Linked DNA regions of Anolis sagrei. The protein of the gene in region 1 purifies or fractionates together with the protein of each later gene. This does not show direct contact. Links are inferred from orthologs where the notes say so. Each region holds a gene or a part of one and is shown in the gene's direction. Other genes may lie near its edges.

The links.
Region 2: the proteins of BAG2 (region 1) and EDRF1 purify together in Homo sapiens (affinity purification with mass spectrometry; 3 studies listed by BioGRID and IntAct, with this or other methods). This does not show direct contact. The link is inferred for Anolis sagrei from reciprocal best matches to the Homo sapiens genes BAG2 and EDRF1.
Region 3: the proteins of BAG2 (region 1) and DNAJB1 purify together in Homo sapiens (affinity purification with mass spectrometry; 4 studies listed by BioGRID and IntAct, with this or other methods). This does not show direct contact. The link is inferred for Anolis sagrei from reciprocal best matches to the Homo sapiens genes BAG2 and DNAJB1.
Region 4: the proteins of BAG2 (region 1) and IRF2BP2 purify together in Homo sapiens (affinity purification with mass spectrometry; 3 studies listed by BioGRID and IntAct, with this or other methods). This does not show direct contact. The link is inferred for Anolis sagrei from reciprocal best matches to the Homo sapiens genes BAG2 and IRF2BP2.

What each region holds. Positions count from the first base shown.
Region 1 is NC_090021.1:118,661,735-118,668,863, reverse strand, and holds the start of BAG2 (BAG family molecular chaperone regulator 2), read left to right. Parts: upstream 1-4,117; 5' UTR 4,118-4,166; coding exon 4,167-4,324; intron 4,325-7,129. UniProt on the Homo sapiens protein: Co-chaperone for HSP70 and HSC70 chaperone proteins. Acts as a nucleotide-exchange factor (NEF) promoting the release of ADP from the HSP70 and HSC70 proteins thereby triggering client/substrate protein release.
Region 2 is NC_090023.1:196,759,882-196,767,795, reverse strand, and holds the start of EDRF1 (erythroid differentiation-related factor 1), read left to right. Parts: upstream 1-4,896; 5' UTR 4,897-4,976; coding exon 4,977-5,063; intron 5,064-7,914. Other genes in the region: TEX36 (testis-expressed protein 36), read right to left, coding at 869-919. UniProt on the Homo sapiens protein: Transcription factor involved in erythroid differentiation. Involved in transcriptional activation of the globin gene.
Region 3 is NC_090022.1:128,013,718-128,020,562, forward strand, and holds the start of DNAJB1 (dnaJ homolog subfamily B member 1), read left to right. Parts: upstream 1-3,831; 5' UTR 3,832-3,941; coding exon 3,942-4,152; intron 4,153-6,428; coding exon 6,429-6,845. UniProt on the Homo sapiens protein: Interacts with HSP70 and can stimulate its ATPase activity. Stimulates the association between HSC70 and HIP. Negatively regulates heat shock-induced HSF1 transcriptional activity during the attenuation and recovery phase period of the heat shock response.
Region 4 is NC_090021.1:59,346,691-59,353,803, forward strand, and holds the start of IRF2BP2 (interferon regulatory factor 2-binding protein 2), read left to right. Parts: upstream 1-4,090; 5' UTR 4,091-4,647; coding exon 4,648-5,698; intron 5,699-7,113. UniProt on the Homo sapiens protein: Acts as a transcriptional corepressor in a IRF2-dependent manner; this repression is not mediated by histone deacetylase activities. Represses the NFAT1-dependent transactivation of NFAT-responsive promoters.

The sequences.
Region 1 (7,129 bases):
CAAGTCATTTCAGACTTAGGTTGACCCTGAGTGAGGGCCGGGTAAATGACCTTGGAGGGCCATATCCGGCCCCCAGGCCTTAGTTTGAGGACCCCTGGTCTAGGGGGAAATGTAAGCTATCCTTAGGAAAGACCTTAAATACTTCGAGCAGTTCCCTACATGTCTCATTCCCTTGCTATAAGGAGACCAACAAATATTGTCCATCTTTGGGGTGACTATCACATTTCAGAAGGGTGTTGGTGAGTAGCATTCCCATCTTTTTCATACAGTCTCAATCACCTAATCAATACCCTTCAAGATCTAAGTGCTGTATTCTATTACTAATCCAACTGGAATAAAATTCTAATTCAAACTAGACACGTGTATTAACATTCTCTGCTAAAGTGCTCCTTTTTTCACTTCATTAACTTTTAATTCCCAAAGTCTACCCACAGCATGCAATCTGAATGTTGCTATTACCACCCTCTTCCCACCAGGGACCATCCTTCGTCCATTGACACATTCTGCTGTAACAATATCCACATGTTTTTGCTTTTAGCCATGCGGATATAGCTGTGCGAATCTTCCCCGAGGGAGTGAGTGCCGGTCAACCTGCCCACAAATAAGCCCTGTAAGATGATCCTGTCCAGAAAGTATTCTGTTAACACCTACGCTCTGAATAGCAAGCCATGTGAAAATAGCACCTTTGTTTTTTCTGAAGGGGAGAAAAACTCCCCATAGAAAAGGTACAGCACGGCTCTATATCAACTCCATGCGGCATGGTCAATGTCTTTACAACATGCACTTTTATAGTGTCTGGCGGACCATGAGTTTCTGTACTCGTGCTTTCAGGGCTATGGAGAAAAGGGGTTGAGCTAGAAAGCATCAAACCTTTTAAAGCTATGTAACGAAACCCATGAGTGAGTGAATACCATCTTGACGCACAGTCTTCTAGTCCTTCCAATTATGGTTAACATTATTGAACTCTGAAGCCACAACATACTTCCTTTCATAAAAGGAAAGTCTTCTGTCATCTTCAAGTACCTATTTATAAAAAGACTTCCAGTTGCTGTTAAGGCCCCTAACAAAATGACTTTACAGTACTGTTTGATGTGCCACAACTTTCAGGAACTTAAACTAGCAATTATAGCCTAAGTTACGATTGCAGTCTGATTTTTGGAAATCTCCCAGCCACCAATTGAACCAATTTCTCCCTCCATCAAAATCTGACTCATGAAAAAAGATAAATGTTTCCCCTTGACATTAAGTCTAGTTGTGTCCAACTCTGGGGGTGGCACGCATCTCCATTTCTAAGCCGAAGAGCAGGCGTTGTCTGTAAACACCTCCAAGGTTATGTGGCCAGCATGATTACATGGAGCGGCAGAAGCTGGGGCTAACAGCGGGAGCTCATGCTGCTCCTTGGATCTGAACCGCTGACCTTTTGGTCAGCAAGTTCAGTAGCTCAGCGGTTTAACCTGCTGCACCACTGGGGGTTCCATCGGGGCTCAAGAAAGAGCCAGGCTGGGTTGTCGGTTTTTTGGGCTATATGACCATGTTCTAGATGCATTCTCTCCTGACGTTTTGCCTGCATCTATAGCAGGCATCCTCAGAGGTTGTGAGGTCTCACAAATGTTGAGGTCTATTTTCCCCAAGCCCCACCATTAACATTTCGGCCTATTGAGTATCCGTGCCAAGTTTGGTCCAGATTAATCACTGTTTGAGTCCACAGTGCTCTCTGGATGTAGGTGAACTACAACTCACAAACTCAAAGTCAATGTCCACCAAACCCTCCCAGTATTTTCTGTTGTCTATGGGAGTTCTGTGTGCCAAGTTAGCTTCAATTCCATCGTTGGTGGAGTTCAGAATGCTCTTTGATTGTAGGTGAACTATAAATCCCAGCAACTACAACTCCCAAATGACAAAAATCAATCTTCCCCCCAACCCCACCAGTATTCAAATTGTTTGTGCCAAATTTGGTCCAGTGAATGAAAATACATCCTGTATATCAGATTTTACATTACAATTCATAATACTAGCAAAATTACAGTTATGAAGTCGCAGCGAAAATAATGTTATGGTTGGGGGTCACCACAACATGAGGAACTGTACTAAGGGGTCTACCATTAGGAAGGTTGAGAAACACTGGTCTACACTCTCACACTCTCTTGCTGTCCTTAATGTAGTGTTGCTGTATTTTTGAAAATTAACTTCAGTTGTGTTTTTTTAAAATAACATTTTCTAGGAAAAAATCTAAATTGGTAAGAAATACTTTTGTAAAAAACCCTGTCCTCTTCTTTGAAAAGAAGGTTGAGAAACCAAATCACTGCAGTGCAGTTAAAGAAAGGAAAGTTTGTGCCAGCCCTTGGCATGCGCTCAAGAGACTGCAGGGCTGCTGGGTCCTAATAGAAACTTAAGAGGAAGAAAGGACTTGTTAGAGCAGGCAAAACCTTTCACTTTTGGGAGAGCATCAGGACAGCTTTTATGAGTGGAGGAAAAAAGTTGATATTCCAACTCTAGGATTCTAAGCTGTGTGAGTGCATCTGTTTATGTAGGTGTGTTTTGAATGAGGTCTATCATATCTATGACTGTATAGCCATCTATCTGGAAGGCTTTTGTAGTGTCTTCTTGCAGGCAGAAGAGGGTTAGACTGGATGGCCCCTTGGGTCCCTTCCAGCTCTAGGATTCTAAACTGTGTACGTGTGTGTGTTTATTGAATGATGTCTATCATATCTATGATTGTCTGGCTATCCACCTGGAAGGCTTTGGACACCCACTTTTGCATGGCAGAAGTGGGTTGGACTGGATGGTCCTTGTTGTCTCTTACAGATCTATGATCTCTACTGTTTGTATGTATGTATGTATGTGTGTGTGTGTGTATATATATAGAGAGAGAGAGAGAGAGAGAGAGAGAGAGAGAGAGCACCTGTTATAACTATGACTGGCTGGCCATCTGTCTGAAAGGTCTTGATGGTGTCTTCTTGCATGGCAGAAGTGGGTTGGACTGAGTGGTCCTTATGATCTCTTCCAGATCTGTGACATCTATTGTGTGTATATGTGTAAAAAAATATTTTAAATGTCTGTCATATCTAGGCTAGCTGGCCATCTGCCTGGAAGTCTTTGGTGGTGTCTTCTTGCAGGGCAGAAGAGGGTTGGACTGGATGGCCCCTTGGGGTTCCTTCCAACTCTAGGATTCTAAATTGTGTGTGTGTGCATGTATTGAATGACGTCTATCATATCTATGATGGCCTGGCCATCTGACTGGAAGGCTTTGAGGGTGTCTTCTTGTGTGGCAGAAGAGGGTTGGACTGGAGGGGCCTTGTGCTCTCTTACAGATTTATGATATCTATTGTGTGTGTGTGTATACGTGTGTGTATAGCCTGTCACAATTATGGCTGGCTGGTCATCTGTTTGGAAGGCTCTGATGGTGTCTTCTTGTGTGGCAGAAGAGGGTTGGACTGGATGGTCTTTGCGGTCTCTTACAGATCTATATCTATTGCTTGTGTGTGTGTATATATATGTGTGTGTGTGTGTGTGTAGCCTGTCACAACTATGGCTGGCTGGTCATCTGTCTGGAAGGCTCTGATGGTGTCTTCTTGCATGGCAGAAGAGGGTTGGATTGGATGGTCCTTGTGGTCTCTTCCAAATCTATTATATCTATTGTGTGTACGTGTGTGTGTATACACACACACACACACACACACACTATATATATATATATATATATATATATATATATATATATATATATACGCACGCACACATTCTCTCCTCCCCTCTCTCTTTCTATATACTGTATATAATATCTGTCATAACAATGGCTGTCTGGCCATCTGCCTGGAAGGCTTTGATGGTGTCTTCTTGCATGGCAGAAGTGGGTTGGGCTGGATGGTCCTTGTAGTCTCTTCCAAATCTATGATATCGATTGTGTGTGTGGGTGTGTATATATATATATATATATAAAATGTCTGTCCTAACTATGGCTGTGGCCATCTGCCTGGAAGGCTTTGGTGGTGTCCAACATTGTGGGAGTTGAAGTCCAAAACAGCTGGACTGGAGAGCAGCCTGGACTGGAGACTGGAGAAGGGCGGGCAGGCGTGCCCTGGGCGGCCCTGCTGCCTGTCCTCCTTGTTCGGGAGGGAGGAGCCTCGGGCGGCGCAGGCAGAGGGAGAAGCTGAGGCGGAGCGGCGATGGCCCAGGCCAAGAGCAGCGCCTCCAAAAGCCTCCTCGCTTCGGAGCCCGGGGAAGGGGGAGTGCCGCCGCCTCGCCGGGGCCGCTTCTTCCGCTCCACTTCCATGGCCGACCGCTCCAGCCGCCTCCTGGAGAGCCTCGACCAGCTCGAGCTCAGGTCAGGCACCAGCCCAAGGGGAAGGAGGGAGCGCGCGGGTGAGCGGGCGGGCGGGCAAGCAAGAGGCGCGTGCACCGTGGACTAGGCGAAGGGAAGCCGCGCTGCAGGCCATCCCCAGAGTTCTCCTCTCCTGCCTCTCCAAAACACACAACTTCAATGACACCGCTTTGTACTGGGGTCTTGGAAGTTGTAGTTTGGAGACGCACTTGCACCCTTTGGCAGAGGAGGCTGAAGGCTTGTTTTTTTAAGACTACAATTCCTATGATTCCATAGCATTGAAACAGGGCAGGTCAAAGTGGTGCCAAGGTGCATTCAGGCTACAGGGTAGATCAGGCACGAGCAAACTTGGGCCCTCCCTCCAGGGGTTTTGGACTTCAACTCCCACCATTCCTAACAGCCTCAGGCCCTTTCCTTTATCTACTTTATCTCCTGTGCCTTTTTTGTTGCAGGTTGTGGGCCTATTTGGCCCAGCATAAACACAGAACCAGTCTGCCCCACAGTCTGTCTTCATTATTATTATTATTATTATTATTATTATTATTATTATTATTTACGACATTTATATGCCGCCCTTCTCACCCCAAAGGGGACTCAGAGCAGCTTACTATACACACACACACACACACACACACACACACACAATATATATATATATGTATGTATGTATTGTATTGTATTGTATTGTATTGTATTGTATTGTATTGTATTGTATTGTATTGTTGAAGGCCTTTATGGCCGAAATCACTGGGTGACCCTTCTGATAACCCCTCATGACCCCCCCCCCCCCCAGGGTCCCGACCCACAGGTTGAGAAATGCTGCCATCCAGTCCAACTCCCTTCACCAGTGCAAGAAAACACAATCTAAGCCTTCCTGACAAAAAGCCATCCAGTCATATAGATATATAGATATGATTCACACACACACACATATGTATATGACAGATATAGTATCCTAGATTTGAAAGGGACCTCTAAAGAAGGACAATGATATGTTGCCTGTTTCAGAGTAGGCAAACCTGACAATCTCTACATCAAGACTGACAAAGAAACAGCAAGAAATACTGTTTACCCACAAGCAGAAAGAAATTACCTATATTAGAAACCAACACTTTCTCATTACTTTATTTTCCAGATCACCAGATTGGGCCACAGCAACGCATGGCAGGGGACAGCTACTCTATATAAATAAAAATGTAATGTTTGTTTGTGAGATTAACATAACTCAAAGTCCACTGGATGAATTGCTGTCAAATTTGGCCACAAGACACCTTCTAACCCAAGAAGTGACCATCACTAAAAAAATGATTTTGTCATTTAGGAGTTGTATTTGATGGGATTTATAGTTAACCTACAATCAAAGGGCATTCTGAACCCCACCAATGATGGAATTCAAACAAATGTGGCACACAGGACTCCCATGACCAACATGGGCATTTATGGGCATTGATCTTAAGTTTGGGAGTTGTAGTTCACCTTCATCCAGAGAGCACTGTGGATTCACACAATGATCCAGACCAAATTTAGCACAAATATTTCATATGCCCAAATATGAACACATGGAGTTTGGGGGAAATAGACCTTTACATTTGGGAATTGTAGTTGCTGGGATTTATAGTTCACCTACAATCAAATAGCAATCTGAACCCCACCAAATGACAGAATTGGGCCAAACTTCCCACACAGAACCCCCATGACCAACAGAAAATACTCAAATACTCAAGGCCATCCAGTCCAACTCCCTTCACGAGGGCAAGAAAACGTAATCAAAGCCCTCCTGACAAAGAGCCATCCAGCCATAGATGTAGATAGATATATATGATTCACACACACACACACACACTACTATAGTATCATAGATTGGAAAGGGACCCTAAACAAGGACAATTCTATGTTGCATGTTCCAGAGGAGGCAAACCAGGCAATCTCCAACACTGACAAAGAAACAACAAGAAATACTGTTTACCTACAAGCATAAAGAAATGACAGATTAGAAACCAACGCTTTCTCGTTACTTTATTTTCCGGATCACCAGACCGGGCCAGAGCAATGTCTGGCAGGGAACGGCTAGTAACCATATTAAAAAAAATGTAATGTTTCTGAGATTAACATAGCTCAAAAACCACTGGATGAGTTGACATCAAATTTGGACACAATACACCTATCAGGCCATTGAGTGACCACCACTCCTAAAAACACTGAAAAACACAGCGGAAGGGACTTAAAATCCAAAAAACCAAAAAGACTCTACAACGCATGCACAAAAATTACTCTCCTGGTAAACAAAACACACAAAAGCATATCCACACTCTCTTTCGGACTACAGCTCCCAGCATCCCCTAGACCAGGCCCTTTAGGAGAGGAGGATGATCCAAATGCACTGCTTCCAGGATGCAAGCTTTCTTCTCCTTGGATTTCTTTGAGAGCATCCCAATCCCTGCATATTTCCAATTTCCTATTCCTGGACTGCAACTCCCAGCAACCCTCCCAGCTAGTTTTTTATATAGTAAACGAGGAACATGAACACAATAAAAGCACCCTCAGTACTAATTTTGCTCTAATTGGGAAGCTATGCTCGCTTTGCCATTAGTAATAGATATGCTATAAGGAGAGAGTTTCGTATTCGAAGTAGCCAAACCTGTCCCATAAATTACTACCTCTGTATTTTCCCAGACATGAAAGGAATGGAAAAGGTGTAGCAATTGAAATGCTGTGGTTGGCCTGTTCCATTTGGGACTTGAAGGGCTACAGCCCGGGTACTGATTTACCATCTGGACTGAGCACCAAATCATCTGGAGCAGGCATCCT
Region 2 (7,914 bases), on another chromosome or scaffold:
AGGATCTTGAGATTCCTAAAGAACTGTTCTCTCTAGAAATCTCGATGGCCCCTTTCTACACTGCTATATAAAATCCAGATTATCTGCTTTGAACTGGCTTGTATGGCAGTGTAGACTCATATAATTCAGTACAAAGCAGATAATGTGGTTTATCTGCTTTGATAATCTGGATTATATGGCAGTGTAGAAGGGGACTATGTCATCCAGCATAGAATAATACTGAAGGACCGACCCAGGGCCCTTCCACACAGCCCTATATCCCAGAATATCAAGGTAGAAAATCCCACATTATCTGCTTCGAACCGGGTTATCTGAATCTACACTCAGATAATGTGGGATTTTCTGCCTTGATATTCTTGGATATAGGGCTGTGTGGAAGCCCCCCAATTTTAAATAATTAGACATCCTCCAGCTGTTTCGGCCTCCAACTCTCAGAATATCTGAACACTGTACAAGCTGGATAGGGCTTCTGGGAGTTGGGGGCCAAAACAGCTGGAGGGCTGCGGTTTGAGAATGCCTGGCCAAAACAATAAATGTGTGTGTGGGGGGGGGGGGGGAGTGGCAGTGTTGTGAAACAAGGAGCGTTAGAAAACTAAGGGACACATGGCAAGCCAATGCTATCCTTTTCTCTATCACAGATCATTATTTCAGGTTAGCATTATACCAGTGGTTCTCAACCTGGGGTCCCCAGATATTTTTGGCCTATAACTCCCAGAAATCCCAGCCAGTTTACCAGGTCTTAGGATTTCTGGGAGTTGAAGGCCAAATATATCTGGGGACCCCAGGTTGAGAACCACTGTGTTACACTCTCCCATATTTGCCAGGAACTAACTGAGACACTATAACTACTCAGAGAGTGCCTCCTTACCCAGATGCCATCCCGAGATGTGCTGGGGTTGGCCCGCTTCCCTTTGGGCATAGTTTCTTGTTACATGGAGCTCAACTCCACCAGTGACATGGAGAAAACAGAGGGCTCTTTTGCCACTGGTCTCTGGACAAGGCTGAGGAAGACCTGGTTGCCAAGGTCAACAGTACCTCCTTTCCCTGCATCTTCAGGACAGCATTCCAGAACCTTTGGATTAGTCTCTCCCATTGGATGTCCGGCAGGATCTGATCCTAGAGCTTTCCAAACATTTCATGTTGGTGACACACTTCTTAGACATGCATCATTTTGTGACACAGTAATTCAGCCTTATTATAGCATAACCCATCCGCTTTATAAGAAATATGGACACAGACATAAAATGTATGTAACACAATCTATCATTAAAAAATTTGAAAAAATGTAATAAGCCACAAAAACTTTGTTTATGCGGGACATCCTGCAGCACATTTTGCTATAGTTTTTCAATGAATAGCTCAAAGCATATCAACCAATTGAACAAAGTTTGTAGCAGCCACAAAAACGAAGTTTCTGGAGTTGAACTACTTTCAATTCAGCAGGAAATAAGACTTCCAAACCAGGAACAGAAAAAAAATCAAATTTTGTTACATAGTATTATATGGCAGTGTAGTTCTGCAGCACATTTTGCTAGTTTTTCAATAAGCCCTCCAATCTTCCGACACATCATTTTGACATGCCAAGAGCTCTGGATGGAGGGGCCTGAGCATGCTACGAAGCCCCTAAAGTAAGTTTAGGAGTCAAAAAGGGGCTGGGAGGGGAGGTGCCATCCTGGAACCCAAAGAACAGGGATCGCTGTGGGGAGCCAATCCCCAGAGGCTGAGCACCTCAACTGATCAGGTCCTCTCAGTAAGATCCAGATATTTTGAGGTGTCAAATTATTCTAATCTGGGAAATCTAAGGGCCCTTTCAGAAAGGCCCTATAATCCAGGATGCAATCCCAGGTTTTCTGCTTTAAACTGGATTATATCAGTCCGCACTGCCAGATAATCTGCGATAAACAGAAAACCTGGGATCAGATCCTGTGGTATAGGGTCTGTCTGGAAGGGCCCTAAGGCCCCTTCTACACTGCCATATAAAACCCAGATTATCTGCTTTGAATTGGATTATAAGGCTTTTTTTTTGTTGTTCATTCGTTCAGTCGTTTCCGACTCTTCGTGACCTCATGCACCAGTCCACGCCAGAGCTCCCTGTCGGCCGTCACCACCCAGAGCTCCTTCAAGGTCAATCCAGTCACTTCAAGGATGCCATCCATCCATCTTGCCCTTGGTCGGCTCCTCTTCCTTTTTCCTTCCATTTTCCCCAGCATAATTGTCTTCTCTGAGCTTTCCTTTCTTCTCATGATGTGGCCAAAGTGCTTCATCTTTGCCTCTACTATCCTTTCCTCCAATGAGCAGTCGGACTTTATTTCCTGAAGTATGGACTGGTTGGATCTTCTCGCGGTTCAAGGCAATCTCAGAACTTTCCTCCAACACCACAATTCAAAAGCATCTATCTTCCTTCGCTCAGCCTTCCCTAGGGTTCGGCTCTCACATCCATAGGTGACTATGGGGAATACCATTGCTTTAATTATGCGGATCTTCGTTGCCAGTGTGATGTCTCCACTCTCCACTATTTTATCGAGATTGGTCATGGCTCTCCTCCCAAGAAGTAAACGTCTCCTGATTTCCTGGCTGCAGTCTGCATCTGCAGTAATCTTTGCACCTAGAAATACAATGTCTGTCACGGCCTACACGTTTTCTCCCTCTATTTCCCAGTTATCAATTATTCTTGTTGCCATAATCTTGGGTTTTTTTATATTCAGCTGCAACCCAGCTTTTGCGCTTTCTTCTTTCACCCTGATTAGAAGGCTCCTCAGCTCCTCCTCGCTTTCAGCCATCAAAGTGGTGTCATCTGCATATCTAAGGTTAATTTTTCTTCCAGCAATTTTTACTCCAGCCTTGCATTCGTCAAGTCCCGCATATCGCATGATGTCTTCTGCATACAAGTTGAATAAATTGGGTGAGAGGATACAACCCTGCCGAACACCTTTCCCAATCTGGATTTTATATGGCAGTATAGACTCGTAAAATCCAGTTCAAAGCAAATGTGGATTGTCTTATTTGATAATCTGGATTATATGGCAGTGTAGATCCTACCTGAGGCTCCTTCTACACTGCCCTATAATCCAGATTATCAAAACAGATAATCTACATTGACCAATGAAACCCAGATTATAATCCAGTTTTAAAGCAGATAATCTAGGCTTCGTAGGGCAATGTAGGAGCCCGAAACACCAGCTCTAATGAAAAGAGGCCCCTTCCACACTGTCCAGAGATCCCACACAGCCAAATAACTAGAATATCTGCTTTGAACTGGGTTATCTGAGTCCACACTGCCATCTATTCTAGTTCAAAGAAGATAATGTAGGATTTTATTCAGCGGTGTGGAAGGCAGATTAGTGAGATGGGCCAAAACTAACAAAATGAAGTTCAACAGTGACAAATGCAAGATACTAAACTTTGGCAGGAAAAACGAAATGCAAAGATATAGAATGGGGGACAATGCCTGGCTTGAGAGCAGTACGTGTGAAAAAGATCTTGGGAGTCCTCGTGGACTACAAGTTAAACATGAGCCAACAATGTGATGTGGCGGCAAAAAAGCCAATGGGATTTTGGCCTGCATCAATAGGAGCATAGTGTCTACATCTAGGGAAGTAATGCTACCCCTCTATTCTGCTTTGGTTAGACCACACCTGGAATATTGTGTCCAGTTCTGGGCACCACAATTCAAGAGAGATATTGACAAGCTGGAATGTGTCCAGAGGAGGGCGACTAAAATGATCAAGGGTCTGGAGAACAAGCCCTATGAGGAGCGGCTTAAGGAGCTGGGCATGTTTAGCCTGAAGAAGAGAAGGCTGAGAGGAGATATGATAGCCATGTATAAATATGTGAGAGGAAGCCATAGGGAGGAGGGAGCAAGCTTGTTTTCTGCTTCCCTGGAGACTAGGACGCGGAACAATGGCTTCAAACTACAAGAGAGGAGATTCCATCTGAACATGAGGAAGAACTTCCTGACTGTGAGAGCCGTTCAGCAGTGGAACTCTCTGCCCCGGAGTGTGGTGGAGGCTCCTTCTTTGGAAGCTTTTAAACAGGGGCTGGATGGCCATCTGTCAGGGGTGATTTGAATGCAATATTCCTGCTTCTTGGCAGGGGGTTGGACTGGATGGCCCATGAGGTCTCTTCCAACTCTTTGATTCTATGATTCTATGACTGTGAGAGCCGTTCAGCAGTGGAACTCTCTGCCCCGGAGTGTGGTGGAGGCTCCTTCTCTGGAAGCTTTTAAACAGAGGCTGGATGGCCATCTGTCAGGGGTGCTTTGAATGCATTTTTTCTGCTTCTTGACAGGGGGTTGGACTGGATGGCCCATGAGGTCTCTTCCAACACTGATTCTATGACTGTGAGAGCCGTTCAGCAGTGGAACTCTCTGCCCCGGAGTGTGGTGGAGGCTCCTTCTCTGGAAGCTTTTAAGCAGAGGCTGGATGGCCATCTGTCAGGGGTGCTTTGAATGCAATATTCCTGCTTCTTGGCAGGGGGTTGGACTGGATGGCCCATGAGGTCTCTTCCAACTCTTTGATTCTATGATTCTTTGATTCTAAACTAACAAAAGACCCCTATTCCTTCTATCAGCGTTGTCCGGGCTCTGATTACTTATGGCAGTGATTCCCAAACGCGTCTTCTACAATTCTGGACTCCAACTCCCAGAAGCCTCAGCTGCCTTCTCCAATGACTAGGAATCCTGGGAATTGAAGTCCAAATTAGCTGGGAGATCAAAGGTTCCACCCACTACACTTTCCCAGACCCTCTTCTAGGTTTGTATACAAGCGCTTTGACAGAGATCTCGCGAGTGTTGCTCCTCCTCGGCGAGAGCTTGTGAGAAGCATTGCAAAGAGCCAACGAAACGCAGCGAGGGCAAGGAGGGGGCGGGGCTTAGACTTTTTTTCTATATCCGAGCTCTTTCCGGATGTTTCTAGGAGGCCGAACGTGGAGAAGGGAGCGGACTTCCGGCAGCTGAGCCTGAGGCGAGCGGCGAGCGAATGGGGGACTCCAGGGAAGCGGGGGGCGAGGCGGGCGCCGGGGCTTCTCCGTCGCCGTTGAAAGGAGAGCCAGAGGAGCCCAAACAGGTACCGAAGCACCGCAGGCATTGGCCAACGAAGGAGTGGGAACACTGTAGAACTCATGCAGTTGGACACCACTTCAATTGCCATGACTTAATACTGTCCTGGTGTCATTTCACAAGCTCTTTGGCCTTCTCTGCCACAAGAATTTCTGGAGCCTCCCCAAACTGTAACTCCAATGATTCTCTAGCAGTTGAAAGTGTTATGAAACTACATTAATTCATTCTAGTCTAGATGCAGCATAAGCTTCAATGAATGACCCTTCAATGCAGTATATAATTTTATTTCTTTCCCGCCTCTCCTCGTGACGGGTTACACAATAATTAAAACACGTATAAACACTAAAAATAATAATAATACTTTATTTATACCCCGCCACCATCTCCCCAAGGGACTCGGAGCGGCTTATATGAGGCCAAGCCCAACAACACATCAATAAAACAAGAAAGCAATAAACAAAAACAATACAATTGTTATAAATCACATATAAACAATAACACACAAGATTTAAAAACCTATGGCCGGGCCAAATGTAATAGTTTAAAATTAAAAATAAATGCTGGGTAGGAACAAGGTAGGATATATCTGGTAGGAGGGTTTTAAAGAAGTGGGGGGAGTGCAATCCAACAAATAGTTAAGGGGGGCATTTTGCTGGGAATTAATTTCCTTATTCCGGGAAGGCACACTGGAACAGCCACGTTTTCAGGTTCCTCCTAAAGACTCCCAATGTTGGGGCATGCCTGATATCCCTGGGAAGTGAGTTCCAGAGTCAGGGGGCCACCACCGAGAAGGCCCTCTCCCTCATCCCCACCAACCGTGCCTGCGAGGCAGGCAGGAGCGAGATCAGGGCCTCTCCAGATGTTTGAAGAGATCGTGTGGGTTTGTACACAGAAATGCGGCCATGCATAAAAATAAAAATACTTCAAATAATAATAATGAGTTGTTGTAGATCTTTTGGGCTATATGGTCATGTTCTAAAAGCATTCTCTCCTGACATTTCACCTGCATCTATAACAGGCATTCTCAGAGGTTGTGAGGTCTGCTGAAAACTAGGAAAATTGGGCCATAGCACGTCATGTCTGAAATTTAGAAGAACAAATGGTCCATATGGGTGGCTTTGCTTTCTGATGGTTCTAAATATAGAAACTATAATAATTTAGATTTTTTAATATATGAAACATAAGTGAATTCCGTGCATAGACTTGGATCTCTTCTCCAAGAGATCTCATTATGTACATATATGCAAATACAGGTATTCCAATATACACACACGCTGTGTGTGTGTGTGTGTGTACACACATATACACACACTGTCTATCCCAAACATTTCTGGCCCCAAGACTTTTGGACGATACAATTAATAGAAGTGCAACAGAGGGAATTTCAGCTGTCATGCAAGACTATGACTGGAGACCAGGGTTTGAGTCCTTTCTTGGCTGTGGAAACCTACATTGGGCAAGTCACACACACACTCAGTCATAGAAAACTTTATGACTTATTTGTGAGTGAGAGCAGGGCCTCCCTGGATGATCTTAAACAACGAGACAGGACGTAGAGGGAGATGCGTTTGGACAAGTAAGCTGGGCCAGAACCGTATAGGGCAAAGGTTCTCACCCTGTTGGTCCCCAGATGTTTGGTCCCCTGGCTACCATAAATTGGAAATTACTTGATGAAAGACAACACCTGTTGAGATTTCTTCTTTTACACAGCTATTAAGGGGGCAAGAGTGTATAGAACAGGGGTCCTCAAACTAAGGCCCGGGTGCCGGATACAGCCCTCCAAGGTAATTTACCCGACCCTCGCTCAGGGTCAACCTAAGTCTGAAACGACTAGAAAACACACAACAACAACAACAACAACAACAACAATCCTATTTCATCAGCCAGAAGCAGGCCCACACTTCCCATTGAAATACTAATAAGTTTATATTTGTTAAAATTGTTCTTCATTTTAATTATTGTATTGTTTTTAAGTGTTTTTTGAACTACAAATAATATATGTGTAGTGTGCATAGAAATTCATTCATTTTTTATTACAATCAGGCCCTCCAACAGTTGAAGGGACTGTGACCTGGCCCTCTGTTTAAAATGTTTGAGGACCCCTGGTATAGAAGTTGGAAGAGACCCCAAGGGCCATCTAATCCAAGCCCATTCTGACATGCAGGAACCCACAGTCAAAGCTCCCCCAATAGATAACCTTCCAGCCTCAGTATAAACACCTCCAGAGAAGGATACTTCATTGGGCCCTAAGGAAATATACTCTACTGCCTAACATCTCTTACTGTCAGAAAGTTCTTCCTAATGTTTAAGTGGAATCTCTTTTCCTGCAATTTGAATCCTTTCTTCTATTGTGGCCTGGTCTCCAGAGCAGCAGAAAACAAGCTGTGACATCCTTTAAAATATTTAAACATGGCTATCAAGTCTCCTCTCGACCTTCTCTTCTCCAACTTAAACATATCTAGCTTTGCCGGTTTTACTCTGACAACCCTTCTTGCTTTTGAAGGGTGCTATGAAACAGTTGGCACTGAACAGCCAAAGGAATGCATTTAGATGTTGTAATAAAGTCCATCGGATAATATCCAGGAACAGCTGTACTATGATAACTTAATTGGTTTTTAAATTATCATAAGATACTTTGTTTTTCTCTTGCAATAGTGTACCATGGCTATACCTTTGTCAATATTGATGTCCCAAAAGCCTTTCTTAAAAAGCCTTAGATATGTTCTGGTAGTGGTATCTTGTCTCTCTCTTGTGAGAAAAATATTGTTGGATCCTGGAAAACTTTTGGTATTGAAGTCATACCAAAAGATCTCCTGTTATCATTGTAATGTTTAATGGAGATATGTTGGGAAGAGTAT
Region 3 (6,845 bases), on another chromosome or scaffold:
CCGTAGCTACAGGTGGATTCCCCTGGAAAGCCTCTTTATCACTCAGCTCTTCACTCGATTCGTTATCTAATGTCGCACCTTTTTATTCCCCTGAATGTCCTTGAGGCCCTGCACAGAATCACAGAGATGGAAGAAACCTCATGGGCCATCCAGTCTAACCCCCTGCCAAGAAGCAGGAATATTGCATTTAAATCACCCCTGACAGATGGCCATCCAGCCTCTGTTTAAAAGTTCTAAATCATCGGTTAACCCACCAGCCTCTGGCAGCTGATGTACAACACAGCTATATATAGTGTAGTTATATAAAATTGTATAATCAAAGTTTGTTGGGAGGATTCTTTTTAAATATTTTTAATTCGTGGGTGATTGAATCCATAGTAAAGAATCTATGGATACGGAGGGCTAGCTGTATAGAAACGTGGGTTAAGGCTTATCAATCTGCTACAGACTGCACACATCTCAAAACTACTTCCCTTTCAAAAGGCAATGGGAGGACTCCATTTATAAATACTGTGCTAGTTAGATATTCGGGCGTTGGAAGAAAGACGGAAACAGGGGAAAACATTGCAATTATTGTTTGATGCTATCTGTTTAGATTTCAGTGAGTCCTCTGTGGTAATGATTTGATCTTTCTCCCTTGACTTCTGGGAAGGATCTCTCTTAGATCTCATCTTATGCCGTCTCAAACTGGTATTGAAGAAAGTGTTTTCACTGTGCAGATGATTACATAGGAAATCATTAAATGATCAGTACAGACGGGACCTCAGATTGTGGACACCTTGAACAATGGTATCAATCAGGAATGAGTGTTTCTTAACACCTAGAAGCTGTAAACAAGCCAGCATTGAAGTGACTTTTGCCACTTTTTATCTGCTGCCTGGGAGAAGAGCCAAGGGCTGGACTGCAAACTGGAAGGCAACCTCCCTCCACCATACCAGCCCCACCCAGGGGTCAAATTAAACACCATAGAGAAGCAGTGCCAAGGAGGTGAACAAAGAGTGGAAATTCCTGCGTAAAGTCCCATTACGGAAGCACTGGGTGCTCTTTGTTGTCCTCCTGGGATTTCACCGTCCTGAATCATTAATTCAATGTCGTCTACAAGTACAGTGACCGAGTTTGCTAACACGGTGAAACCTATGTTGGGTCTGGGCATAATTGGGAAGAGAACCATACTTCCTTTACACCATTTTTGGTGTGGCATTTTGGAATAATGTGCACATTTTTGGTCATGGAACCTCAATATATAATACAGTATGGTACAATCTATATATAAATTAAAATGTTCGTTTGTGGGATTGACATAACTCAAAAGCCACTGGACAAATGGACACCAAATTTGGACACAATACAAGAGTGACCATCACTCATAAAAAACACTGAGAAACACAGCAGAAAAGACTTAAAAAGCCAAAAAAAATTAAAGCGCATGCGCAAAACCACATATACACACACATACACACACATAAAACACATATACACAAACTGAGCCACAGCAATGCGTGGCAGGGGACTTCTAGTCTATATAAATAAAAATGTAATTTTTGTTTGTGGGATTAACATAACTCAAAAACCAGTGGACAAATTGACACCAAATTTGGACACAATACACCTATCAGGCCAACAAGTGACTTTCACTCATAAAAACACAGTGGAAGGGACTTAAAAAGCCAACAAATAAAAAAAACATCCACAAGTATATACACATATACATAAATATATACACACATACATGCACATATACACACACAAAGCACATATACAGAGACTGGGCCACAGCAACGCGGGACAGTTAGTCTATATAAATAGAAATGTAATGTTTATTTGTGGGATTAACATAACTCAAAAAGCACTGGACAAATGGACACCAAATTTGGATACAATACACGTATCAGGCCAACAAGTGACCATCACTCATAAAACACTGAAAAACAGCACCCAGGGGGTGAGAGTTTTTGACTTAAAATGCCAAAAAACAAGAAATGTATTACACCGCATGTGCAAAACCACACACATATATATACACAAACATACATATGTACGCATATAAACAAATATATACACACTCAAAACACATCTACACAGACTGGGCCACAGTCATCAAGTAGATGATCCAAACATGAGCAATCCAAATGGTTACAAAATTTGGTACTTCTTAATTGTGAAGAAAAGGTACGTAAGAAGAAATGTTAGATATATTTCCAAATAAACATGGGGCAGGTAGCAATTAAAAAATGGAGGTGGCACCTGTCAGAGCAACAGGTGGTCTTGGGGATAAGAACCCCCTCCTCTGTTAAAAAACAATGCATAGAATCATTGAAGAACAGAATTGCAAGGCCATTCAATGCTAATCAAGGTGGCCAGTTGCAACATTCACACTTGCCTCAAGCAGACAAAAGTTCTTTCTCCCACCATGGACATTATCCCACAGATATAAAAACCGGTAATAGTATGATAGCTGGGTCTGGAAACTCTGAGTGTTACGGAGATGCCGCATCGCTCCTTTGGGAGCGCTGTTTGCACAAGAGAGACTTAGCTAATGTAAGCCAGGCCTGAGACAGATACTCTAGAAGGAATGTAAGAGTTCTTTAATGGTGAAACTCTAACCCTTACCCTAACCCTGATCCGTATGCGTAAGCCTAAGCCTAACCCCTACCCAAACCTTACCCTAAACTGTACTCTAACCATAACCCCCAACAGTAACCCTAACCCAAAACCTTGCCCTAACCCTAAGCATGCCGTCCTTTCTATCCTTCCTTCGCTCTCCCCGCTCTCTCTCCGCCTCCTCTTCCCTTATTCACAACTGCCTTTGCAGCATCTCCGTAATGCTGAGCTTCCGGGCCCAGCTATCATACTATCACCTAAAAAGCTCACTTGTCTAGTTTCCAACAGACCCCTCAACCTCTGAGGATGCATGCCATAGATGTGGGTGAAACGTCAGGAGATAATGCTTCTGGAACATGGCCTTACAGCCCAGAAAACTCACAGCAACCCAGTGATTCCATGTCATGAAAGTCTTAAACAACACAGAGCTGGAAGAGACCACATGGGCCATCTAGTCCAACCCCTGCCATGCAGGAAGAGCACAACCAAAGCACCCTCAACAGGTGGCCATCCAGCCTCTGTTTAAAAGCCTCCACAGGAGCCTCCACCACACTCAGGACAGAGTTCTACTGCTGAACAATTTTTTCTCATGTTCAGGTAGATGCATCTACACCAGTGGTTCTCAACCTGTGGGTCCCCAGGTGTTTTGGCCTACAACTCCCAGAAATCCCAGCCAGTTTACCAGCTGTTAGGATTTCTGGGAGTTGGGGGCCAAAACATCTAGGGACCCACAGGTTGAGAACCACTGATCTACACTGTAGAATAGATGCGATTTGACACCACTTTAACTGCAATGATTCCGTCAAAGGAATTATAGCTTTACAACGCCTTCTTTCTTCTTTGAGAGCGCTGGTGACTCTCCAAACTACAAGTCCCATGATTCCACAGCACTAAACCATGGTGCCAAACCGCATTCATTCCACAATGCAGATGCACCCAGAGCTGTTTCTAACGGAAGAGGCGGCTCTCATTCCCAAAGGCCACACGTTTCTTTTGGCACGCGCCACTCCTGGCCCGTCCACTGTCTGCGCGCGCATCTCAAGAACCCCGAGCGCGAGGACCGTTGGCGGCCCAACGAAGAATGCCCCCCCTCCCCCCGCCGTTCAGTCCCAAGGTGGGCGCCCTCAGCCGTTAACTTCCAAGCTTTGCCCATCCCGCAGTCGATCCCCATTGGCGGAGAGAACAGAGTGCTCGATGGCGATTGGCTAGGGCAGAAGGGATGGGCGGGGCCGAGGCGGAGATTGTTGTGGCAAGCTCTGGAAGATTCCTCCGCCCGCAGTATAAAACCGGAGGGGACGCGCCCGGCCCGGCATTAGAACCCGAGGCGGTGAGGGCGAGCCATGGGCAAGGACTACTACCGCACCCTGGGCCTGTCCCGCGGGGCCAGCGACGACGACATTAAGAAGGCCTACCGGAAGCAGGCGCTGCGCTACCACCCGGACAAGAACAAGGACCCCGGCTCCGAGGAGCGCTTCAAGGAGATCGCCGAGGCCTACGACGTGCTCAGCGACCCCAAGAAGCGCGAAATCTTCGACAAGTTCGGCGAGGAAGGTGCGCGGGGGCCGCGGGGTGGCCGGGGGGGGGGGGCAGGAGGGACCTGCGCATGCGCCTTGGCGTCACATTATTCGCCACGGCTCGATTCTTCAGAAAGCGTAGTTTGTTGAGGGACCAGCGCTCTTTGGCAGCCAGGGGCCTTGTCAGCAGCTGCCAGGGATCCATATCGTTAAAGTGGGCTCCAGCCGCATTCATTCCACAGTGTAGATGTAGCCTGGAGTGTAGCCTAGAAAACCAGCTTCAGCTTGGTTTGCTGTGAGTTTTCCGGGCTGTATAGCCATGTCCCTGACGTTTCATCCACATCTATGGCTGGCTCAGGTTGTTGATTCCCCTGCCATTCACGAGAAAGTACACAGGGAGTTTGCGTTGTGGCACCAAGAGCAGAGGAGAGAGAGAGGGGAAGGGTCTCTTTTCAGCACATCTCTGGGTATTACTTCCTGTAAGGTTTTAATCAAAACTAATAACTGGCTAAAGGCCCCCCTGGTGCTGCAGCAGATTAAACTGCTGAGCTGCTAACTTGCTCACCGAAAGGTTGGCGGTTTGAATCCAGGGAGAGGGGTGAGCCCCCGCTGTTAACCCCAGCTTCTGCCAACCGAGCTATTTGAAAACATGCAAGATGTGGGTAGATCAATAGGTACCACTTCTGCAGGAAGGTAATGGCACTCCATGCAGTCATGCCGGCCACATAACCTTGGAGGCATCTATGGACAACGCAGGCTATTTGGTTTAGAAATGGAGATGAGCACCACCCCACCCCCCCCCCACCCCCCCAGAGTTGGACATGGCTAGACTTAATGTCAAGGGAAATCTTTATCTTACTAACACTGGCTAAAAGTGAGGAATGATGAGTAGAAAGCAGAATATTCACACACAGGTATTGGAGGCAATCCGTGTCCCCTCTTGCTGAAGTTCCTTTGACAAACGTTGCCAGTTTGAGTTGTTCTGCCCTGATCTCGCTGCCCAGGCAAGACCTTCTCGATTTTGAGATGCCTCCTTCTGTCTACTTGATGATCACCCCCAATTTCCAGAGCTAGTTGGACGCCTTTTCCTCTGGAGCAACTGTTAAGACGATGCTGAAAACTCACAGCAAACCAAGCTTTTTCATGAAGGATGAAGTAGAAAAAGCAGACTGTTAGGAATTGGGCGAGTTGAAGTCTAAAACATCCTGGAGGGCTGAAGTTTGCCCATGCCTGAAGTAGAAAGTGGACGAGAAGGGCTGAAGAACGAGTTATTTCACTTTGTGGTTCTGGAAAGCAGTCCAATGTTGAGTTGCCATCTTTAAATAGTTCCAGTTATAACCTCCAACATCCACTATTATCTAAAGCAGTGGGTTTCAGATTTTCATCCCCCAGGAGTTTTGGACTTCAACTCCCAGAACTCCTAGCCAGTTTACCAGCTGTTAGGTTTAGTGGGAGCTCTAGTTGAAAACATCTGGAAGACCAAAGGTTGAGAACAACTGATCTACAGGCTCTTCCTGATAGGGAAGGCTACTTTGAAATCACCCAGATTTAGCAATAATTATAGCCCTCTTGTGTAGGATTTCTGTAGTGTCCTGCTTTGCATATCAGTCTCTTTGTGTCTTCAGGGATTTGTTTTTGCTTTGTATGTTTACTTTCTTGTTCTGAAGAACATCCACCCCTTCCGTAGAATGTTGAAATGTTTAGTGCGTAAAAGAGAAGCTCTCAACTTATTTATACAGATTGTGGTAAATTTCCATAGCTTTTCTGTATTGTTTCGATTGCACAGCTGGCATTCATGGAACATTCTGAGCATTTTCCTTTAAATGGGTGTTGTAGTAATTTGGCTGCATCTATTGGGCTGCATGACAGGCTGTCTGAGATAGGTGGAGCTTTTGTTACACAAGTCTTCTAGTCGTTGCTAGAATATTCTAGCATGTTCTTGTGCTTATCTGTTGCAGTGCTACCTTTTCCTTAGTAGAACTGTTTTTCTGCAAGATTTATACTTATTAAAGTATACAGATTAGGTGAAATGCATTCTGAATTGAGCTTTGTATCCAGGAGCATGGATTTAGTAGATCTTGTGAATAACTGAGAATTGTAGTTTTTTTATATGATTTGGACACTAGGGTACACAACACACAAATGTACTGAAGTTAGCTGTTGGGTGTGAGATTTGTTCGAAGTATTTCTAATTACCCTTATGCAGTTGTTTGACATGTCTGTAAAATGAGTAAAAATAATACTTAGGCTTTTTTGATATTGAATGATAATGTAACCTGAAAGCTGAGGCTTATTGTGTTTCCTATATTGCAGGACTAAAGGGAGGTGGTCCCAGCTGCAGTGGAGGTGGTCCCAATGGCACTTCATTCACCTACACCTTTCATGGAGATCCTCATGCCATGTTTGCAGAATTCTTTGGTGGGCGGAATCCTTTTGATACGTTCTTTGTTCAGAGGAATGGTGACGAAGATATGGACATTGATGACCCCTTCACGGGTTTTCAAAACTTTGGCAACATTGGCTTTTCCCGTGCTCGTGGGGGCCATGAAAATGTTCGCAGGAAACCAGATCCACCCATCACTCACGAGCTGAGAGTATCCTTGGAGGAAATTTACAGTGGATGCACCAAGAAAATGAAAATTTCTCACAAACGGCTAAATCCAGATGGAAAAACGACACGCAATGAAGATAAGATTCTAACAATTGATGTCAAACGTGGCTGGAAAGAAG
Region 4 (7,113 bases), about 59 Mb from region 1:
TCTCTTTCTCTCTCTTGCCTTTCTCCCTCCCTCTTTCCTTTCCGCTTCATTAGGAAAGGCTGTTCAAACAACAATGACTGCGTTTGGAATAGCAACGAGGCAGAAACGTCAGCAAGATTCCTTTCTCTCTTTCCCTCCCTCTTTGCCCATCCAGAGGCAAAGATAAGCATCTGCACTCTGCTCTTCCAGCTCACAACCAGTTCCATCCAGTTCAAAGGGGGAGTGCTTTACATACACACACATTCAGTACATTTTTCTCACCCTTTACCTTTTATTAATTTCTTTTCCCCAGGATGAAATAAGTGGGTGTCAAGTTGTATTTATTCTACAGTGTTAAGATGGCTCTTTAAAACCATCAACCGTTGCTTAGGAACGTGAGAATGTAAAGCGTGTCGTTCAGGCTCCCGTGCAATGAGTCCACAGCCAACCCTAACCTGTGCTTTTGCTTTTGGAAATGCTAATCAAGCCAGGACTACAAAGGCTACTTTAAAGAGATGTATTGTTGTGTGTTTTCCAGGCTGTATGGCCATGTCCCAGGAGCATTCTCTCCTGACATTTCGCCTGCATCTATGGTAGGCATCCTGAGAGGTTGTTGAGTGTTTTCTGGGCTGTAGGGCCATGTTCCAGAAGCATTCTCTCCTAACGTTTCACCTGCATCTATGGCAGGCATCCTGAGAGGTTATGAGGGCTTGTTGTGTGTTTTCTGGGCTGAATGCCCATGTTACAGAAGCATTCTCTCCTGACATTTTGCATGCACCTATGACAGGCATCCTCAGAGGTTGTGATAGATTGTTTTGTGTTTTTCCGGGCTGTATGGCCATGTACAAGAAGCATTCTCTCCTGACTTTTCACCTGCATCTACGGCAGGCATCCTCTGAGGTTGTGGTAGGTTGTTGTGTGCTTTCTGTGTTCCAGAAGCATTCTTTCCTGACGTTTCATCTGCATCTAGGGCAGGCATCTTCAGAGGTTGTGAGGGGTTGTTTTGTGTGTTTTCCAGGCTGTATGGCCATGCTCAAGAAGCATTCTCTCCTGACGTTTCGCCTGCATCTATGGTAGGCACGCTGAGCGGTTGCGAGACCTCACAACCTCTGAGGATGCCTGCCATAGATGCAGGCGAAACGTCAGGAGAGAATGCTGCTGGAGCATGGCCATACAGCCCGGAAACACACACAACAACCCAATGCTAATCAAGTCAGGACTGCAAAGGAGTTGCAGCAGAGGCAAATCGGTTTCTGGGCGGCTGCCTCTGCCAACACAGTGTTTTGTATTGTTTTTAAAAAATTGGGAAAGGTAAATCCGCCACATGCCAAAACCGTCTTTCCTGAGGCCTGGTTGCAAAGAAGGCGCGGCGCGGAATCATTGCCAACGCCAAGCACGCGGGAGGACACGCTAAAGCGCTTTGTTTGTTTGTTGCAGTTGTTTGACCCGACTCGGCCGCCGTAGCCTGCAAAAACTGCCCATGCTATCTTAAGTAAAAGTTAAGCCTGCGAGGGAGGGAGCGCCGCGCGCCCAGAAATAGCAGCAAAGGGGCGGGGCTTGAAGGCTGTGACGGCGCTGGCCGCAGCTCGCTCTCTCTCTCTCCCCCCCCCTGTCTCTCTCTCTCGTCCCTGGAATGTGCATTTCGCTTAACAAGGCTTCGAGTGCCAATGGCATAGAGTCACGTCCCCGACTGCGCATGCGCAGGCCGGAGGAGCCCTTGGACCAAAATGCAAACGTCAGAAACTCGCCTCCTTTTTTCCCTCCCTCCCTTTGTAACCTACATAACTCAGCAGCCGCCGCCGCCGCAATAATAATAATAGTAGTACTGTGGGAATGGTGACCTAGGCGGCAGTTTTCGGGGAGCGGCTGGCTCTTGTGTTTACGCAGCACAATCCCCAGGGCGCACGCAGGCAGTGAAGCGGGATCGCCGCTGGTTCACGCGTCTCGTGTGAACGGGAAAGGGGGCGAAAGCGTGGGCGAAAGCGTGGTTCGCGAAAAGGCCTTACTGGTGCATTATTCAAACTGTTATGTTTATTCATATCATGATCTGATCACCATACTCAATATATCCCATATGCACGGGGGTATTGCGGTAATGATACAAAAGGTTTGCTAGGCTAGACCCTCTTTCACTCAGACTCAGCCCCCCCCCCGAAACTCAGCCCTCCCCAACCCCCCCCCCGAAAAAAATCAGCCCCCCCTCCCCCGAAACGAAATCCTGGCTGCGGGCCTGGTGGGGAGGGTGGGAAAGAGGGGGAAAGGGCCGCCTGGGGTTAGGCTCTGCACCAGAAACACCATGTTTATGAGTTGCACTTACTTTTAATGGGGTTTCTCTAGAGTAGGCACGGGCAATCCTGGGCCCTCCCACGAGGTGTTTTGGACTGCAACTCCCACCATTCCCAACAGCCTCAGGCTTAAGCGTCTGAAGGGAAAATGGAAAGGGCCCGAGGCTGTTAGGAATGGTGGGAGTTGTAGTCCAAAAAGCCTGGTGGGAGGGCGTAAGTTTGCCTATTCATTTACAGTATTTCTATTTTTTGTAATACAGTATTTCTATTATATTTCTGTATACTATTTCTATATTATATCCCATGTCTTTATTTATTTATTTACAGTATTGATATCCCTTGTATTACATTCTATGTCTTTAATTACAGTATTGATATTCCTTGTATTACGCTATTGATATTCCTTGTATTATATTCCATACCTTTATTTATTCATTTATTTACAATATTGATATTCCTTGCATTGTTGTTCATTCGTACAGTCATTTCCAACTCTTCGTGACCTCATGGACCAGCCCATGCCAGAGCTCCCTGTCGGCCGTCACCACCCCCAGCTCCTTCAAGGTTAAGTCAGTCACTTCAAGGATACCATCCATCCATCTTGCCCTTGGTCGGCCCTCTTCCTTTTTCCTTCCATTTTCCCCAGCATCAGTCCTCTCTAAGCTTTCCTGTCTTCTCATGATGTGGCCAAAATACCTCATCTTGGCCTCTAATATCCTTCCCTGCAATGAGCAGTCGGGCTTTATTTCCTGAAGTATGGACTGGTTGGATCTTCTCGCAGTCCAAGGCACTCTCAGAACTTTCCTTCAGCACCACAGTTCAAAAGCATTTATCTTCCTTTTGTAATTCCTTGTATTACAGTATTTATATTCCTTGCATTGATATTCCTTGTATCCCATGCCTTTATTTATTTATTTATTTATTTATTGTATTTATATTTCTTGTATTGATATTCCTTATTATATTCTATGCCTTTATTTATTCATTATTTTCAGTATTGATATTCCTTGTATTTATGTTCCTTGTATTATATTCCATGCCTTTATTTATTTACAGTATTGATATTCCTTGTATTACCGTATTTATATCCCTTGTATTTTTATGCCTTGTATTATATTCCATGCCTTTATTTATTCATTTACAGTATTTATATTCCTTGTGTTATATTCCATTTACAATATTTATAATCCTTGTAGTACAGTATTTCTATTCCTTGTATATATATTCCATGCCTTTGTATTATCAATGGAGAAGCCGTCAAACCATTGTTTCTGAAGGTGCGAACGTGAAAAATGCATGCTGAAATCTGAATTAAAATCAGGAAGTCGAATGGTCACCTAGATTGCTGTTGTTTTTTTTCAAAGGGCGGCCATTGAAGAATCCCAAAACCTGACGTGAAGCCACATACACACACATGCAATTGAAGTATCCCAATACCACACAGATACATTTATTTATCTTGTCAGGGGCAACCAGACCACACAGATACATGCAAAATGGCAAAAAAAAGACATGCAAAAAGGAATTTCCCCATCCATGGCACTCGCATTGAGGGCGAGGAACCCCCCCCCCCCCCCACACACACACACACACCTTGGCCTCCATTCACACGCGAGAGCCCTTTTCCCTCCCAAGGAATCGCCCGAAAATAAATACAGATACATACAAAATGGCAAAAAGAGGGACATGCAAAAAGGAATCTCCCCAATCCTGGCATCCGCATTGAGGGCGAGGAAATTTTCCCCCCACCTTGGCCTCCATTCACACGCGAGAGCCCTTTCCCGTCCCTCCCTCCCTTTCCTCCTTCCCTCCCTCCCTTTCCCCGGTGCTGACTCGGAGAGAGAGCTGGTTATTCTCGCAGCCCTTGTTGTCTTGGCAGAAGTTCAATGAGCAGCAGGAGGAGGAAGAGAGGGAGAGGGAGGGAAGGAGGAGGGAGGGAAACGGCGAGGGGGAGAGCCTAGTACGCATGCGCTCCTGGGCACTGTCGAAGAATCGAGTCACTGGAGCAGCGAGAACGCACTCAGCGGCGGCGGCTCGTGGAGTCCCCGCCCCAGCAGCGCGAGAAAGAGAGAGAGAGAGAGAGAGAGAAGGAGCGTCTGGGCAGCGCGGTGGTAGTAGAGAGAGAGAGAGAGAGTGAGCGAGCAAGCAAGCGCGAGCCACGAAAGGAGAGCACGAGCCGCGAAGGAAGAGCGCGAGGCCCGGGCGATGCGGTAGCGGAGGAAAGGCGTTTTTGCCAAGGAGCGACGGCGCGGCTGCTTTTCCGGCGGGAGCAGAGGAGGCTGCTGTTGCAGGGAGAGGAGGAGGAGGAGGAGAAGGAAGGCGAGGCCCGTGCTCGCTGCCGCTGGCTGTGCTGCTGCTGCTGCCGCCCCCGGGTCCCGCGGCCATGTCTTCCGCGGCGGTGGCGGTCTCGGCCGCCTCCCGCCGCCAGTCGTGCTACCTCTGCGACCTTCCCCGCATGCCCTGGGCCATGATCTGGGACTTCACGGAGCCCGTCTGCCGCGGCTGCGTCAACTACGAGGGCGCCGACCGGGTGGAGTTCGTCATCGACACGGCGCGGCAGCTCAAGCGGGCCCACAGCTTCCAGGAGGCGCGCGGGGGAGGGGGCGGCGGCGGGGGAGCGGGCCCCCAGCAAGGCCCCCACGCCAAGGCCCCGCCGCCCCCTCCGCCGCCGCCCCCGCTCAGCGCCAAGGAGATGCACTCCGCCGCCGTGGCTGCCGCCGCTGCCGCCGCCGCTGAGGCCGCCTCCCGCGGGGGGCCTCCGCCGCACGAGCGCTACGCCCTGGCCGCCGCCGCCTCAGAGCGGGCCCCACCGCGCCTGGGCCCCGAGTACGGCGGGCGGCAAGTCAACGGCATCCTGGTGCCCAACGGCTTCCCCAAGCCCGAGGAGCCGCCCGAGCTGAACCGCCAAAGCCCCAACCCGCGGAGGACCACGCACGCCGTGGCGCCCACCCTGGTGCCGCTCATGAACGGCGCCGCGCTCCCCGGGCTCAGCAGCCGCGCCGCCGCCTCCTTGGCCGCCATCACCGGGCCGCCGCTGCAGGTCTCCGTGGCGGCGGGAGAAGGCGCGCCTCCGCACAAGAGGCCCGGCTCCGTCTCTTCCTCTTCCTCCTCCTCCTCGTCTTCCTCGGGAGGCGACGCCGACAAGGACAAGGGCCCTGCCTCGCAGCGGGGCTCCGTCGAGGGCCTGGAGGCGCTGGAGGGCAAAGGCCGCGGCGGGGGCTCCGAGCAGGAGTGGCTGGGGAAGCCCAAGACCGTGCGGGACACGCTCCTGGCCCTGCAGCACGGCGGACACGCCGTCCCCTACGAGGGCAAGTTCAAGAAGGAGCCCGGCCTCGCCGCCGCCGCCGCCGGAGCAGCGCCACCAGGAGCAGCAGCAGGAGGAGGAGCAGGAGGGCGGCTGCTGGGCTACGAGGGCAACGGCGCCAAGGCCTCCGGTGAGTGGCCAGGAAGACGGGCCAAGAGGAAGGAAGGGGTGCTGAGGTGGCCCAAGCGGTCTCGGCACCCCCCCTCTCTCCCCCTCCCTCCCCCTTCCTTTCTTCCCACCCCCTCCCTCACGTTCATTCCTTCTTTCCCTTTCCTTCCATCATTCCTTCCTTCTCTTTCTTCCTTTCCCTCTCTCCCTCCTTTTCCTTTCTTCCTTCTCTTTCTTCCCTTCTTCTCCTTTCTTTCCTTCTTTTCCTCCTTTTCTTCCCCCTCCCTCCCTGCCTTCCTTCTTTTCCTCTTTTCCTTCTCTCTCTCCCCCTTCCCTCCATTTTCTTCCTTCCCTCCCTCCCCTTCCTTCTTCCCCACTCCCTCTTTTCCTTCCCTTCCTTTCCTTCCTTCCTTTCCCTCTCTCCCTCCTTTTCCTTTCTTCCTTCTCTTCCTTCCCTTCTTCTCCTTTCCCTCTTTCTCTCTCCCTTCCCTTTTTTTCCTCCTCTCCCTCTCTCTCCCTTCTCTTCTTTCTTCCCTCCCTCCCTCCCCTTCCTTCGTTTATTAGCTTTCTTTCCCCCTTTCCTTCCTTCCTTCCTTCCTTCCCTCCCTCTCCTTCCTTTCTTCTTTCCTTCCTCCCTGAGTCATCCATGTTACGTTTCCAGCAGGCACCAGGAAGTAGTGCTGAAATGGCCACCCTGGTTCTGCATTTTCTGCTCAACAGAGAACGAGGGGAGGGGTCTCCCTTTCTTTCTGCCAACTGCTCCCCTCCTTTTCCTTCCCAGCCATTTTTCTTCATAGTATTATCTGCTTCTCCTTATGGCACAAGGACGTTGAAATGCACCATTACGTATCGAACACGTTGCATTTCTTCAAAGCACATGCTAGGGCAGGCATGGGCCAACTTGGGCCCTCCCTCCAAGTGTTTTGGACTGCAACTCCCCCCATTCCTAACAGCCTCAGCCCCTTTCCTTTTCCTCCGCTTAAGTGGCTGAGAGGGGAAAGGAAAGGACCTGAGGCTATTAGGAATGGGGGGGAGTTGCAGTCCAAAACACTTGGAGGGAGGGCCCAAGTTGGCCCATGCCTGCGCTAGGGCATACACATAAAATATATGGGTCCAAAGTAACGTTTGAATGGAAAGAAGTGGGTCCCTCCCTCTCAGTGCAGGAAAGGGAGCTGGGGTCGCCATTTCAGCACCACTTCCTGGTGCTGGAGTGTGGTTTGTACTTCAGAGGCTGGAAACATAACATGGATGATGACTCAGGAGCCGAGGGAGGCTTTCCCCCTCCCCCCCCCCCAGGCCCCAGCCTCCTTCTTGGGGAAAGGGCCCCATTGAGGCTCCCAGAGGTGTTTTGCAGAAGGCTGGGGAGCAGGGTGCCATCTCTGGAGTCGCCCCTCACAGGTTGCCAGGCTTTTCTCTCTGGACGTAGCCGGGCATTCC